2 linked regions of the Oryzias latipes genome follow. The protein of the gene in region 1 purifies or fractionates together with the protein of each later gene. This does not show direct contact. Links are inferred from orthologs where the notes say so. Each region holds a gene or a part of one and is shown on either strand. Other genes may lie near its edges.

Region 1 (7,629 bases):
CAGTGATCTTTTAAAAACTGACCTTCTCTTTGACATTTTCAAATGATGACGGGGAGACGACAGAGAAACATACAAGGAAGACGTCTGTTTGGGGGTAACTGAGAGGACGCAGCCTGTCATAATCCTCCTGACCTGAAAATCACAACCAGGAAGTTTAACATTTAGTTACAAAGCTCTATACTTGGGACAAAAGACCTTCAAATCCACAAACCTGCTGTGTCAAAGAGGCCAAGTGTGTATGGCTCTCCCCCAATCATCACTGTCACTGCATAATTGTCAAAAACCTTAGAGAATAAAATGCAATTCAGAAGGCAAATTTTCAAGAATTGTCCTGCATTTTCGCAATACCAAATAGAAAAAATGATTTTACACAACAAATCAGTTTTAATGAATTCCTCTTACTGTTGGCACATATTCTGAGGGGAACTTGTTGGTGGTGTAGGAGATCAGTAAGCATGTCTTTCCTACTGCACCGTCTCCTACCACTACGCATTTTATAGTCTGCATCTATTAAGAAAAACACAAACAAACAGGAGAACACGTCAGTGGAAACAATGCATTGCACAGACAGCCAGTCTGAAAGTGGGACGGAAAGTAACACAAAAATACCCGGGACTAATCTTAGCTTAAAAATGTCAAACTTGACTTAGCATAACAGCAAATGAAAACATATAAGAAAACTGGAAAACATTTGCAAGAAACCAAACATGAGTTATGAGGGACAGATGATAGTCATCACTTGCTGTGCATTCATTTCTGGCAATTATTTGGTGAAAATATATGATCAAAAACTGCAACTAACCCTAATCCACTTGACATCTTACATTTGCACAATTTGTTTGTAAAGCATAAATAATCATGAATAAACTTATATTTTTAATCATTTGCTAATCTTAATAAATCACAAGTCAAAAACTAACTGAAAGTTAAATAAATATCAGATATTATACTTTTTTTTAATGCATATTCAATGGACTTTTAATACATATTCATAGCCAGAATACTATTTAAGTACATGCATTTAGTGTTGATTTTTTTAACATAAAACACCATCACAACCAAATAAATATACTTTAAATAAATGGTTAGCTACCTAATACTCATGTTCTAATAAACATTTAACCGTTTAAATTTACTAATAACGTTATAATTACTTTTTATATGGGAATTTTTACTACATAAAAAGTGTTTACTGGATTTCCTTAAGTTAAATCTGTAAGATTTCACTACTGTGGAGACAAACAGAAAGAAAAAACTCCAGCGAGGACAGCAAAATACTTGTTGTTACATGCGCAGAGAAAATATTACTAATGTCAGCCAAAGGCTTCCGCATAGCAAACATACCGAAGACGCTTTAGAAAGAAGTTAAAAGAGGGCCCTTTACCCAAATGAAATTTAAAAGCGGATGCTGCCAACACTTCCGCTAAACTAAGCTGTACTTCATCGAATAATCCTTTTTTGAAGCCTGCTACATAATAGTACCGAAAGACAGAGAATGTAAAGGTTATTTTACCACGAAAAGTTCGAGTTGAAGGTGATTTCATAGAAATACAGAGTTAGTGACGTTATTATCGTAATTTTCATCTTAACTTAAAGTTAAACCTATAATAGAGTAAACTATACGGAACTCATATGAAACAAAACAAAAACGAAATAGTTAAGTATAGGCTGGTTCAAAACTCGAAATTATCACTATTTTAAGAACTTAACACAGGTAAAATTAACTAAATTGAAATTAACTAACTGCCCAACACAGAAAAGGAAACGTAACACCTTAGGCATTTCTTTAACAAAAACGAGTCTCGTCATTACGAAAACATTATCTTCATATGAAACTGCTAATTATGAGTTACAACAGTTAAATTAAGTAAAAAATACCTTGATAAGAATTGTTTTTACTTCATCAACCCACCGTTTTTCTTCCGACAGGTTAGGCGTTGGTTACATCCGGGTTTGAAGGGTAATATATTCCTGGCGCATGCGCACATCACATGAGCACATGAGGAAGAGAAACCACTGGAGCCAGCTGATATACTGCCTCCTACTGGAGTAACAACTAAAATCTCAATAAGGTTTTGTCTGAGCTGTTTAAGAGCTGTTTATTGTTATGTTATCTACTTGAGCATCGGTAAAAGATGTGGTGCAGTAAAAAATTCTGTATTTAAAAAAAAGCTCTTTCATTTAAAAGAAAATATTTTTCAATTAAGATTTGGACATTTACTTTTTCTTTTTTTGTTAAGTAGCTTTTTTAAGTATTAGAAATAGTTTTGTTGTAACATGTTATTTTTCTTTAAATGTGCTACTACGTGAAGTAATAGCAGCACAATGGCTGTGTTGGCAGATAATTGCATAAAAAGGTCATTATCTGGATCATCCAGGACAGAGATTTTTGCCAGGAAGTGATATTTATATTTAGCGTTTACTGCAAGCTCACTATATGCTCCAAATTGCCTAAACCAAACTTCAAAGTGCTTAGTGGATGAAGATAAGGTTTTGAAATATCATTTTACAGATCACACATCTGCTGCTTGCAATGCTTATAAAACAGCAGGCATAATGCATGAAGACGTAAATAAGATTTTGTTTAATCCAAAAATTACTTATATTTTAAACCATTAAAAATAAATGTTTGAATTGTAAATGGAATTGGTCCATGCATACTCAAAATATTGGCATTTCAGTTGAAACCCAATATTTTGAACATAATTCTAAAGGATGAAAAAGAACATAAAAGGGTGATTTTCACTTTTTTAAATTTATTTTCAAAATTTCTTTAAGGATGTGTAGATGTCAGATTTCATATTTTTTTTAAATGTTGTTTATTTTCGCAATGCCATAGATTTTTGATGATTAAACATGTCCTCAGTTTATTACTCGGTACTGTTGTTCTTTTTTGTTTTTTTATTTGACTTTTTTTGACAGTCAGAATTTTACATTTGGTCTAGTAAATATTTGAAAGATCACGTTAAACGTCTTTTTTGTTTAGTTAACGGTAAAACTTTTGAGATAAAGCTACTTTTACTTGCATTCAGTTTTTGAACAATTAATCATTTGTCCTTAAACAAATATCACCCGTCAATGCAACTCTTCTTGGAAACTTTAAAAAAAAATACACATCATATTTCAAATTCAGTTAAATCACTACATATTTTAACAATGTTACAAGTACAAGTATTTTTACATAGTATTTTATATTGTCATTGCAAAATACTTTATTTTGAAAAACAGAAAGACAGGAAGTTGAAAGTGAGGATTGACGCTTCCTTGACAGCAGCGTTGCTTCCCCTTTGTCAGCGGACTGGCTTCCGTTCTAATGTTTGCTCCAGGTTTCTGGAATGTACTGTGCAGAGACTCTCATCCATAAGTTCTTGTGATTTGCTGTAGTTTCAGCTGTCTGGTTTTTGCCAGAGATCTAGTGGAAGATCCTGTTTTCCGTTGTGACTTGAGCGTGAGTCGGTTTCTGTAAATTAACGAGTTTTTACCTTGGCCGCTGGCTTGGTTCAGCCAGCTGAGTTAAATCACCTAGCATGTTTCGCTTCTTAAATGACGGGGATGACGAGCTCTTCATGATGTGAGTACCGACTTTTATCACGCTGTGTCACCCTTTTTATTTGTCTGTTTTGGAAGTTGTGTCTTAAAATGCTCATTATGAATGTCCCCGTGCCTTGAAGTAGCGACTTTTCGCCGTTCTAGCCAGCTGTGCAGGGGGCCTGCAGAGGTCCACCATATTGGAAACACAATAACAAGAAAGAAAAAACTGTCACTTTTATCTCTTGAAAGAATAGTAACGTATTCATCTATCTGAAGCGACACAAATCTCTGCCGTTAAGCTTATTTCATTTAATATTGTTCACACTTTTCTCGAATTTTCCAGACATTTCAGTTTCCGCATATTTAGAACGGTCCCCTTCGTTCAATGGAAAATGCAGGCTAATGGAATTTGCCAACAAAAACCCTCGCGCGTGTTAGACTTCGCTAACATTTACAAATTAAAAGCTTTTAAGGGTTTCTGAAAAATAAACATAATTTATTAGCTTAGGTAATGTAATGTTTGGTTGACATAAAATGCAGGATGAAAAAGGTTAATAAATGTATTTGAATACTATAAAATAAATCGTATGAACTTCAAATTACTCTGAGATCCTTTAATTTATTTTGTAATAATATTTTCTGTGGAAATTATATGGAAAATAATCCAAATGATAGTTATAGCATTATCAAATTTATTATTATTATTATCTAGAGGAACTTTTTGGTTGGCATATAACAATCCTTCTTTGAAGGAGCTGTTGGACTGCTTAATAAAACGTGTAGGTGTTTTGTTTTTGGCTTTTTTTTTTTTTGTCATACTTCTCACACTACCCCCTTCACTCAAAAGTAGTCACAAAATTTTGCAGGTGTTGTTTTCATTTACCAACACAAATTTTAGCTTTATGCTTGTATTAAAAATAAAATAAAAAAAAGACTGGTGAATTGATTTGAGAACAATGACACAAGTGTTTCCCTTATTTAGACTTAAATGATATATTTTAGACTTATAATTCACCTTTTATTTTGCAGGGATCCCTTTGCAGCTCACAGGCAGCAGCTGAGTATGATGACCCCATTTGCCATGGACCCGTTTGCTCTGGTTCCCCAGATGCACCCACACCGTGTGGCACGCAGACAGGTGACAGACCGCCTTGCGGATAAATTTAGAATATATTTTTACGTCTACCTATTATATTCTTTTGATTAGTATGATCTGCTTAAACTGCTAGTTTTATTGTTTTTGTTTTAGGCTGGCCCTCTGGCTCCCTTTGGCATGATGGGAATGGTGAGTTTTGAACTTCAGTAAATCCATCAGTGGACAATTTTTTTTGTCTAAAAACAGATAAGGCAACTCTTGTCAAAACATTAGAGCCTTTTTCTTCTCTGCTATAGTTTAAAGTTGATTTCAAAATTTCTCTTTTGTTTATTTGTTTTTCTGGATATAATGGGGCCATTTGAAGACATTTTTCCCTTTGAGAAAAGATGTCATTGTTTTTAAATAGAGCAACATAAAACATCCCATTTCCACCTGGTATTTTCAGGTTCTGTTATATTCGTATTAATAAGAGGAAGAGGTAGGAGTGCTGGATTAAAGCAGATCTCAACATCAGCCAATGTCTTACTGTTTGCAGGGAGGAGGATTCATGGATATGTTTGGCATGATGGGAGAAATGATGGGAAACATGGTAAGTCGTTTTTGAACCACGTCCAATAAAATAAATAAAAAGAGTATAGTATATAAATAGTAGGGGCGTTCGGTAAGAATCTGGCGATATGATACATATCCAGATACACGCCCTACAATACGATACATATCGCAGTATTGTACCGGAACACATTTTCTTTCCTTTTTTTTTTTTAAGTGTGACTTCATTTAATTATCACAATGTTAAGCACTGCAATTGTATCTCATTTACAAGGTGCTTTTACCCAAGCAAATTCATAGTGCTTTTATTTTGGTAACTTAAAATATATTTGTTCTTAAAGGGAACAGTCAACATTGTCTGCTTTTTACAACAAATATTTTTCAGTGTAAGAAAAAAAAATAGAAAGACTGTGCCTTAACCCAACAGGGTTCTAAAAGTATGATTGAGGAAATAAACTGCTGTTTATTCAAAATATTTCTTAATGTAGCTTCTCCAGAACTTTTAAACGGTTCAGGAGCCTGAATGGTGCTTCAAAACTAAATGAGAAAAAAAACCAAACACCAATTTTTTCCAGAAACATTAAGTGTGATGAGGCAGCATGACAGGTTGAAGGAAAGTTGCTTTAATGTGGCTAAGATGCTTTATTTACATTACAGTCTGCACTGGAGCTGCAGTTCTGTTTTCTCACACGAAGTATGAGAAGTAAACATGTATTTCACCGCTTATCAGAGCGTGGTACACATCACTCTGATCCATCGGGTCGCTGAACTAAAATCTATTGCTGTGAGGTTCCGCAGAACCTCGGCCCGCTTTGCCGATAGCATTTTGGCTGGTGCTCCATGCATGAGCTGCTGTGCAGCTGCACTTCTTCACTCGTTCTTATCTGAGCTACAAAGCACCGCAATCCACAATATTGTATGATATTGGCAGCAACATGGCACAGATTTTCTGTTCAGTACCTATAGCAAGTAAAAACTATGGAGTGCATGTCTCGTAACAACAAAACTAGCTGCATCTTGCTGAGATCTTGTAGTTGTTTTGTGCGGTGTAGAGCTGCTCAAAGAGGCTCATCCTGCTGGCGGTGCTGCCAGCTAGTGGTCGGATGTTTAAGTAGAAAACAAAAGTCCAGACGCCAAAGATTGCTCATAAAAATTAAATATCGTCCTGACAGCATTTAAATCCATACAACTATTGTCAAATGAATATCGCAATGTATTGCCCAATCGATTTATTTTTTCTATTCTTTTTTTTCTCCTACACCCCTAATAAATAGGATTCAGTCTCACCTTGTATTTATTTATTTTGTTTTCTTCCAGGAAAGGATGTCTGGCTCACCAAACTGCCAGACATTTTCCTCTTCGACAGTGATTTCTTATTCGTCTTTAGACGCAGGAGCTCCTAAAGTTTATCAGCAAACCAGTGAAACCAGAACTGGCCCTGGAGGGGTAATGATGCGTTTACAGCTGTTGGAGTGTTAACATTTTAGATGAAATGAGGAGTTGGCCACAGATAGTGTTGTAAATAATAACATGATTGGCTTTTCTTCTCTATTTGCACATGAATATATTTATAGGTGTAACAGCAGTAAATATGTTGCGTATAATCTTACTATTAGAGGTTTATACTGAAGTATTGTTTATCTGTAAAAACATTAAACGTGTCCGTTGATCTGACCCTCAGATCCGTGAAACCATGCAGTCAGTGAGGGACAGTGAGAGCGGCCTCGAGCGCCTCGCCATCGGTCACCACATTGGGGAACGTGCACACATAGTAGAGCGTTCGCGAAATCGCCGCACTGGAGACCGCGAGGAACGGCAAGACTTTATTAACCTTGATGAGAGTAAGTTGATCTCCAAGTCTCACAGTCTCATCATGTTTTTGGATATAAAAAATTCGCATTTAAGATGCCCATGATGTCATCTAATCACCAAAAATATCTGTGCTTCAATCTTGCTAGGTGAGGCTGAAGCTTTTGATGTGGAATGGAGGAGGGGGACAGGACGATACGCCTCTCCAGGTGCACGTGCAATTGACTATGGTCAAGATCGGCGTGCAGGAGGACAGCAGCTGGCTCTTACTGCGCCTCCCAGTTCAACGTCCCCCCCAGGTCATCGACATGAGTCCCCCAGACACCGCCAGCCCCAAACCCGACCCCGCTATGACTGGTGAGATGGTAAGTTGAACGTAGCACTTTGAGTTGTCTCTATGGGAAGTGTTTTTATTGTAGACACACACACTAAAAATCCTTTTTAAGTTTTTACATTTTTTTAGATTAATGCATAAAGTATCTTTTTCTTGATTCAAGTGCGTTTTTGGTTTTTGCCATTTTAAATAACCACACAATTAAATGTAATTAAATTGTGACATTAGAATCAAAGTTTCTTCTTCATAATTAGTTTCCTTTTTCATAACAAATCTCAAATTCTCCACAGTAACAAGGGAAATAAATCAG
Region 2 (7,582 bases), on another chromosome or scaffold:
GCAACGTTGAAATGCCGCGATTCGAAGACATCCTGTCTCATGTGTCCGACGTTCACAGAGGACACACCTACATCGCAGAGCAAGAAGTGCCTGACGATCTCCAGGCCAAACCCTCCACCAGCAGCGAAGCCGCCACGTCCTCTTCCGGCAGATCCAAGGTCCAGCAGAACACCGTCGAGACGTCGTCCTCCGTGGCACGCGGCCTCACCTGGATGTGCAGGATGTGCGAGGACGTCTTCGACTCGGAAGTTGCCATCCGCAAACACTGCAGTGACATCAGCAGCCACAGCTTTCAGAGGTTTATCTGTGGACACTGTCCCCAAAAGTTCTTCAAGGAGTCCACCGTGAGAAGACACTGCACGAACGAGCACGGCGGGGACATAAAGAGTTGGTACTTTTGCGGCCTCTGCGACAGCATGCAGATGGATTCTGAGGCCGAGCTCCTGGAGCATTACCGGAGCCTTCACAGCAGGGATTACTGCTGCATGGACGACGCCGACGTTCTCCAACCGGCTGCTGCGATGCTTCCTCTGGACTGTCCCTGCATGTCTTCAGAAGGCAACAAGGAAACAGTGACGGGGGTTTATACCAGATGCATGAAAGAGTTGGCTGCAGAGGGGAAATGCCAGTACGTGTGTCCTCCCTGCAGCGTGTCCGTGCCAACGTACGCGCAGATCAAGACTCACGTGCACACAAAGCACCCCAGCCTGAACCTGGACAAGACATTTGAAGTACAATGCAACATGTGTCACCAGAGTTATATGGGTGTTCCAGGTTTCCATAAACACTATCATCACTGTCACTGCACGCTAGAGCCCTGCAGGAGCTCCAGGAAGAGCTCAGAGGCAGAGCCCACTCGTGTGGAGGTCAAAGCACACAAACGCCGTAAGTTCACCAAAGGAGGCTGACTTTAGCGTTTGTGTTTGGAGACTGCAGCACTTTTGATTCCAGTTTTTCATGATTCACAGAGATCCAGGATGAAACTCTGGGGAAGTTTCTGAAAGACGATCAGATCAACAACGAAAGAGATGAAACTGCCATGGGTAAACATTTACAGTAACGTGTCATGAATAAACATGACGGAGTTGAAGTAATTCTATCAGTTTGAAAAACCATATGTTTGATCCGATTAAAAAATCAGTTTTGTTGTCTGTTGCAGAGACCTCTGATGATGAGATGAAACACGCTCTGCCTGTAAGTGCAGAAGAAGCCAGAGAGTCAGCAGGTCTGTTTTCACAACAAAAAAAAAAACAACCTTTTTTTCAAAAGCTATAATAAAAAAGCAGTAATTATTAGTTTAGTACAAACTGTATATTTTAAAATGTAAAAAGTTTAGAGATTGGTATTTTTTATAGATCATTGTTTTTGTAAAATGAGCCAACATGTCAAAAAGATTTGAATGTTAAGACCTACTACAATGAAAATGTTTTTTTTCCAACATGTCTTCTAATGATGGAAACGCATATTAAGAAAATTAAGCTCAAATTTGCATTTGTAAAAAAATAAAAAGTCATATTTGTGTTGTTGAAACTGCACTGGGCGGCCCACAAGCTCCCTGCTTCTAGCGCTCCGAAAGGGAAAGGGGGCGGAGTTGCTCCGTGCCAGTGGTCCCGCCCACAATTCAGCTCTGCAGAAACTATGTCCTAAGAAAAACAACACAGGCTTTTTTTGTATTTTGACTAAAAGCAGCATAAACGGGATTAAAAGATCACTTTGAAAATAGCTTCAAAGATGATCGGAGTGGGTCTTTAAAATGGCCTCTGCTGTTTTTATGTTGTTTTATAATGGAGTGTCATTTTCAACTTTTTTTTTTTTCTTGTTTTTCTTTCCCGCAGAGTTGGAGGAAGCTCTTCAGAGAAGTCTTGTGGAGTTCTAAGTGCTTTCTAAATGAAGTAGTTCCTGTTGTTCACCTGTCACGTTGACCTTTTTTACTCAAGGTCATTGTTTTCAGAAGTTATAAATAAAAGTCATGAATTATTTGAATTGATTTACTTCCTTTAGCAGCCAAAGTCAGCAGTTCTTGGGGCAGACAGTGGGTTTTAAAGCTAGTTAGAAGCTGAGGGTTTATAAAAAGTCAGACGTTCTAAACATTGAAGCTATGTGTCACGTGTTCACACACACACACACACACACACACACAGGATTGTGGTGACACAGCTAGATGCCTGGGCTGACCTCGTGACCGCAGACCAACCGCTCCTCCACCTCTCTGGTTTCACTACAGACGTGAGGATTCTCTTTACCGGCTGCTCAGACGTCAGAAATGAATGAGCAGAAATTGTATTTTTTCTACAGAAAAGTTTGTATGAAACATCATTACATGAGTTCAACTTAAAGAAAAAGGTTTTTTGTGTAAAAGTGTGAGTGAATAACAGGGACAGAACGGTTTTCCTAAAAAGTACTCTCTGTGAAAATATTTTTCTTTAATAAAGATATAATAACGGAGCATGACGTTTGGTCATTGAATGTTACATTTGATTATTTTGTTCGGAGAACAGAAAAAAAAAACAGTTTGGAGACCTGTTGGTTGGTAAAATAGATGGAATCTATCTTTGTGGCTTGAAGCAATAGAGATAATGGTAACAAGCACCTGTCACCTCATCAGCGCCCCCTAAAGGTGGTTTTGTTACATTGTGTCTTTGCTTTTTTCTTTTAACTAAAATGATGAAAAAGTGCCACTTGTACAAATTGATGAGAGTTGCAAATGTCATGTTTAACAAACCTGTATGAACTCTGCAAAAATATTATTCAAATCATGCAGAAAACAGTTATTGGACAATACTATTATTTTATATTTACTTGATGTATTCGTCTTTTAGTTTATTTTTATTTTCTAATCAATTTATGACAATTGTTTTTTTGCCTCCTAATTATATAAAAGTTCCAGAAAAAATAAGCTTTCTCTCCCCCTGTTCCCTTTTATCTCCCAGATATAAAATCTTGTGTAAAATAAAATCTGTTGTTTTATGGAAATTCAAATAAAGCATTTTAAAGCTAAAGCGCTCCTCACTCAGAGCCCCCTGTTGGAGCCCCCTGTCTGGGTTGGAGCCTCCTCTCTGGGTTCCTCGGGAAGTTTCTGTGAGGAGGAGGAAGAGGAGGAAGCTGAAGCCCATGTTAGGAAATGTTGTCCCAGGGGCGCTGCTGCCTGTAGCCTGAGGAATTACTGGTCAGGCGGAGAGCTTAAAGCGCCGCTCACTCTTTGGATTGACTGATCGGACTACAGAAACTCGGCACTGCAGCACTAATTATTATGGCTCAGGCGAAAATCCAGGCGAAGATGAACGAAGCGGTCTGCAGCAAGTTCAGCAGGACACTGTCCATGGCTGATCGCTCCGGAAGACTGCTGGAAACTCTGGATCAGCTGGAAATCAGGTACAATAACGGGCCTCGCCATGCGCGTCTTCTTTGGAGGTGCTCTCGTTCGTTTGACACTGTGGCGTAACTTTAACAACTGAACGTGATTGGAAGGAAAAAGAAAAGCTGTTTTTTTTTGACGGATGTTTGTTTTTGTCAGGGTGGAGGCTTTAAGAGAAACAGCATCCGCCCTGGAGCAGGAAAGAGAAGGCATCCTGGAAATGATTCAATCCATCCAGAACAGTCAAGAAATGCGTAACATCTGTGCGGGTGAGGCTGCTAATTCTCTCCCACAACTTACATAAGAGCACAAGTCATCCGCTGCTTAATACCAGTGAAGAGTGGCTTAACTTTCCAGTAATCTTAATTCCTGTTTTTTGCTACTTTGATCCTGTGGTGATAAAAGGAAAACTTTGCGTGATGGTCAAGAAACTGAAAAGAACAATGTGCTCCACCCAAAATGCATCACATGTCTCACCCATAGAGGTCCCATTTCACCTCTGTGTCTTTCTATTAAACCCTCTAAAAGGAACACACTATACTTCTGAGTCCAACATAGCAAGTTTACTACAAGATATAAACTTTTTTTCATGGTATAAGTAGAAAGAAAAATTCTGTTCTTTTCATGGTACCATATTATATTTACATATTCAACATAAGTCCACACATTTTCATGAATAGAAAGGAACAAAAAAAATGAAATTCTTGTTATATTTCTGCCCCTATATCAAATCTTAAAGACCCACTCAGGAAAATTGTGTTTTTGGTGTTTTTAACATGTTGTTGTGGTGTTTTTCTCAAAATGCAGGACATATAGAAAGAAAATTCAGCTCATATTTCCATTTCGGTGTATTTCTTTATTCAAATTGCAAAAGCAAAAATGCCATTTGAAAAAGCTTGTAGGTTTGACGTAGAAGCTAATACAGCAGACCACAAACGTCCTGCTCTTCTCTGCTCCATTCTGATGCATCCACTTGCGGACAAATAGATCCATGTAGGTCTTTTGTTTTCCTCATCCGAGTTGGCTTCCGGCTCAAAGCTGGACGGATGGATATCTCCATTCTTGCAGGCCATTTGAGTTGCATCAGTAATGTTACGTTGGGGTTATAAAGGGCTGTAAATTTGCAGGAGAGCGTTTAAACACATAGATGTCCGGAAGCAAGGGTGGGCTTACTCCACGCCTACGGCCCCACCTACAACTTAGAGGCAGATTTCTAATGAATTCCTGCCGCTCTGCAGAAATTATGTCCTAGAAAATGACACAGGATTTTTTTATTTGGGCTAAAAATGGTATAACTATAATTACAAAACCACTCGGAACACTTTGGAAATAGATCAAAAGACGATTTATTAACATAAAATACATCAAAATAAATGAAATGAGTCAAAAACAGGTTAATAATAATATTTTTTATGACAAATTAAAGCTCTAATTTCCTTTTCTTCTGCAGGAGAAAGGGAAGAGTTGAGCTTAACTGCGAACCGTCTGATGGGCCGGACTCTGACGGTGGAGATCTCCGTTGGCACCATTAGAAACCCCCAGCAGGAGGAGGCCCTGCGGAAAGCCACATCCATGATTGACGAAATCGTAAAAAAGTTGCTGGTCGACATGGAAGGCGGTCGGCAGCAGCTGATGGCGCTGCACGCCGCCTGCGTGACCGAAGCACCGCCTGTCCCCATCGATCAGAAGTTCCAGGTTGTGGTGATCAGCTGCTCTTTGGAGGACCAGAAGAAGATCAAACAGAGGCTGGAGACGCTGGTGAGGAATGTGGAAAACGCTGAAAAGAACATCAAAATTATGGATCATCAAAAACTGGAGAGTGCAAAAACCAACTGCAGTAGTTAATAATCATCACCAAAGCATGAAGGGTGTTTTTGAATTCCACTTTACCTCACAAAGGAGAGCTGCACAAGCATGACTCTTAGGGATCCATGCATTGTAACCAACCCTGAAAAGTACACTGGTACACATTTTTTTTGTAAAAAGGTCAATTTTTACTTTAAATTTTACTACACCGACATAGCTAAAGGGCACACAGTTCACAATGTATGTTCATCAATAAGCCCAAGAAAGAACAAATACAGATGCATCACAGATTGAAGTTCAACCTTTTGAAGACAATATATAATTTTGAGCACATTTTGCAGCAATTCAGTGCTCTGACATATGAGGTGATTGACAATGCAACAACCAGTATTTTACCAATACTGTGATCGTTAACGTTGAAAATAAAATTACAAACATGTCAAATGAAACCACCTGACAGGAAGTTCGTGGAATTTATCTCAGTTGTAGAAAGACTTTTTATTTGTCTTACAGTTTTAGTTGAAAGGATTTTTGACACAAACTCTGTACGCCTTCATCTTCTGCTGTTTTTTTTTTTGTTACATTTTTATGAAACACAAAGAAAGAAAGTCAATAAAAACTGTGAGAAGCCTCTGAATATGCAGTTTCTTGTTTTCACAAATGGGGAATCCTCCTTTATTTTGTCATTTGGTTTGATAAGAACCTAAAAGCACATGTACAGTTCATAAAATTGCACAAGTCAATGCTTACAATTGGGAGAAAATATTAAAAGTTGTTTCACCATCATGTATGTAGTAGCACAAGGAAAATATGAAACTTAAAAAAAATTGTGATGATGGGACAAAAGCATTCAAAAAGAAAAGAAGGTTCTGTAGCAATTTTGAAATATGTTAAAGTAAATCAGTTTGATTAATTTAATATTATTTAGAACAGAATTATAAATAATAATGGATTGGATTTATGTGCGCTTTTCCAGACCCTCAAAGCGCTTCCGTTGTGTCCATTATTCATTCACTCTTCATTCATGGTAGAGGTGTGGCTGCTAGTATGCAGGGCTTTCTGACCATCACCGGGATCATTCATGCACATTCATGCTGGTAGGCAGTAGCGTCAAGGGTCTTGCCCAAGGACCCCCACTGAGTCATGGTAATTGCTCGCCATTGTTTATATTTATGTATCATTGTTTATTCCCCTCCTGCATGGCAGCCTTCTACCTTACCAACTGAGCTACCCAGCTTGTTATGAGAAATAGGAGCTATGTGGTGGCACAGTGGTTAGTGCTGTCACAATGGGTGGTTTAAATCTTGCCTGGGTCCTTTCTGTGTGGACTTTGCATGTACTCCTGGTGCATGTGTGGGTCCAACAACATGCTCAAAGGTTAAATGGCCTGTCTAAATTGCCCCCTGGTGTGCATGTGAGTGTGTGTGGTTGTGTGACCCTGGAACAGACTGGTGACCTGTTCAGGGTGTACCCTACCATCACCCAATAGTAGCTGGGTCCAGCAGCCCCAGCTTCCTGTGTTGTTTGGTCCAACAGATCAAATGTCACATTTGCTAATGGAAACACAGATGCCACACCCTTTTAACTAAAGCGAACCAAACTTGTGAGAAACCTCAGAATATTTAGAAAACAGGAAAATATGCTGTCATTACCCGAGAACTTTGTAGCAGAGGAAGAACATCCTGCTCCGGATGTTCACACAGCCGAGATGATAAAGCAAGAATACTTTGAATGATTTAGGATGCAGCACTCAGAGTGGGAGAACGGAGTGTCTTTAACCCTTGTGCTATCCTAGGCACTTTAAAATTGGGAGTGGGGTCATCTAGACCCCACTAGACAGTGCACTGAACCGTTTTTCTTCAATGATTTGTGATCTTCACTGTTGTCCATGAATCACATAAAATCCTCTCCACCTTTATCATGGTAGGGAGAACTCATCAAAGTAAGGGTGGGGTCATAGGATAGCACAAGGGTTACAGTGCAGCACATAATAGTATTTTAATCAATAGTAAGTGTTGTCCATTATGTTATCCAGCCAGTATATGCATTACTTTTCAGACAACCAGAACCAAACAGTTGCAGCTTTAGGGCTGGAGTCTTCACTGCTTTTGTCCATCTTTAGGAATAGCTCTGCTCTAAAGCAGAAAATCAAATAAAAAACTGTAAAAATATAAAAAAACATTGTCTTTAGTGATCTATCTAAATGTGCAATTATGCCAAATGTGATTATGTATGCAGGACATGAAACGGGCTTATTTAGATGCATTAAAGAAATGGACTGAATTATTTTGTCAAAAAAATAACAATTGTGCTTGCTTTAGTGTTAATATGACTCCAAGAAAACAACACCTCAAAACTCCCCATAATACAAAGAAAAACTGTAAAAATGTCACTCCCACGCAGATGAATCTTCCTATCAAG

Evidence for each region. The genes of interacting proteins can lie anywhere in the genome.
Region 2: the proteins of mlf2 (region 1) and bag2 purify together in Homo sapiens (affinity purification with mass spectrometry; 4 studies listed by BioGRID and IntAct, with this or other methods). This does not show direct contact. The link is inferred for Oryzias latipes from reciprocal best matches to the Homo sapiens genes MLF2 and BAG2.

What each region holds. Positions count from the first base shown.
Region 1 is NC_019874.2:20,417,612-20,425,240, forward strand, and holds the start of mlf2 (myeloid leukemia factor 2), read left to right. Parts: upstream 1-3,255; 5' UTR 3,256-3,527; coding exon 3,528-3,571; intron 3,572-4,560; coding exon 4,561-4,669; intron 4,670-4,780; coding exon 4,781-4,816; intron 4,817-5,162; coding exon 5,163-5,216; intron 5,217-6,493; coding exon 6,494-6,622; intron 6,623-6,857; coding exon 6,858-7,017; intron 7,018-7,134; coding exon 7,135-7,346; 3' UTR 7,347-7,350; intron 7,351-7,629. Other genes in the region: cell division control protein 42 homolog, read right to left, coding at 23-132, 212-284, 403-507.
Region 2 is NC_019873.2:24,428,822-24,436,403, forward strand, and holds bag2 (BAG family molecular chaperone regulator 2), read left to right. Parts: upstream 1-3,096; 5' UTR 3,097-3,250; coding exon 3,251-3,372; intron 3,373-3,514; coding exon 3,515-3,624; intron 3,625-4,805; coding exon 4,806-5,200; 3' UTR 5,201-5,794; downstream 5,795-7,582. Other genes in the region: E3 SUMO-protein ligase ZNF451, read left to right, coding at 1-885, 969-1,043, 1,160-1,225, 1,836-1,876. UniProt on the Homo sapiens protein: Co-chaperone for HSP70 and HSC70 chaperone proteins. Acts as a nucleotide-exchange factor (NEF) promoting the release of ADP from the HSP70 and HSC70 proteins thereby triggering client/substrate protein release.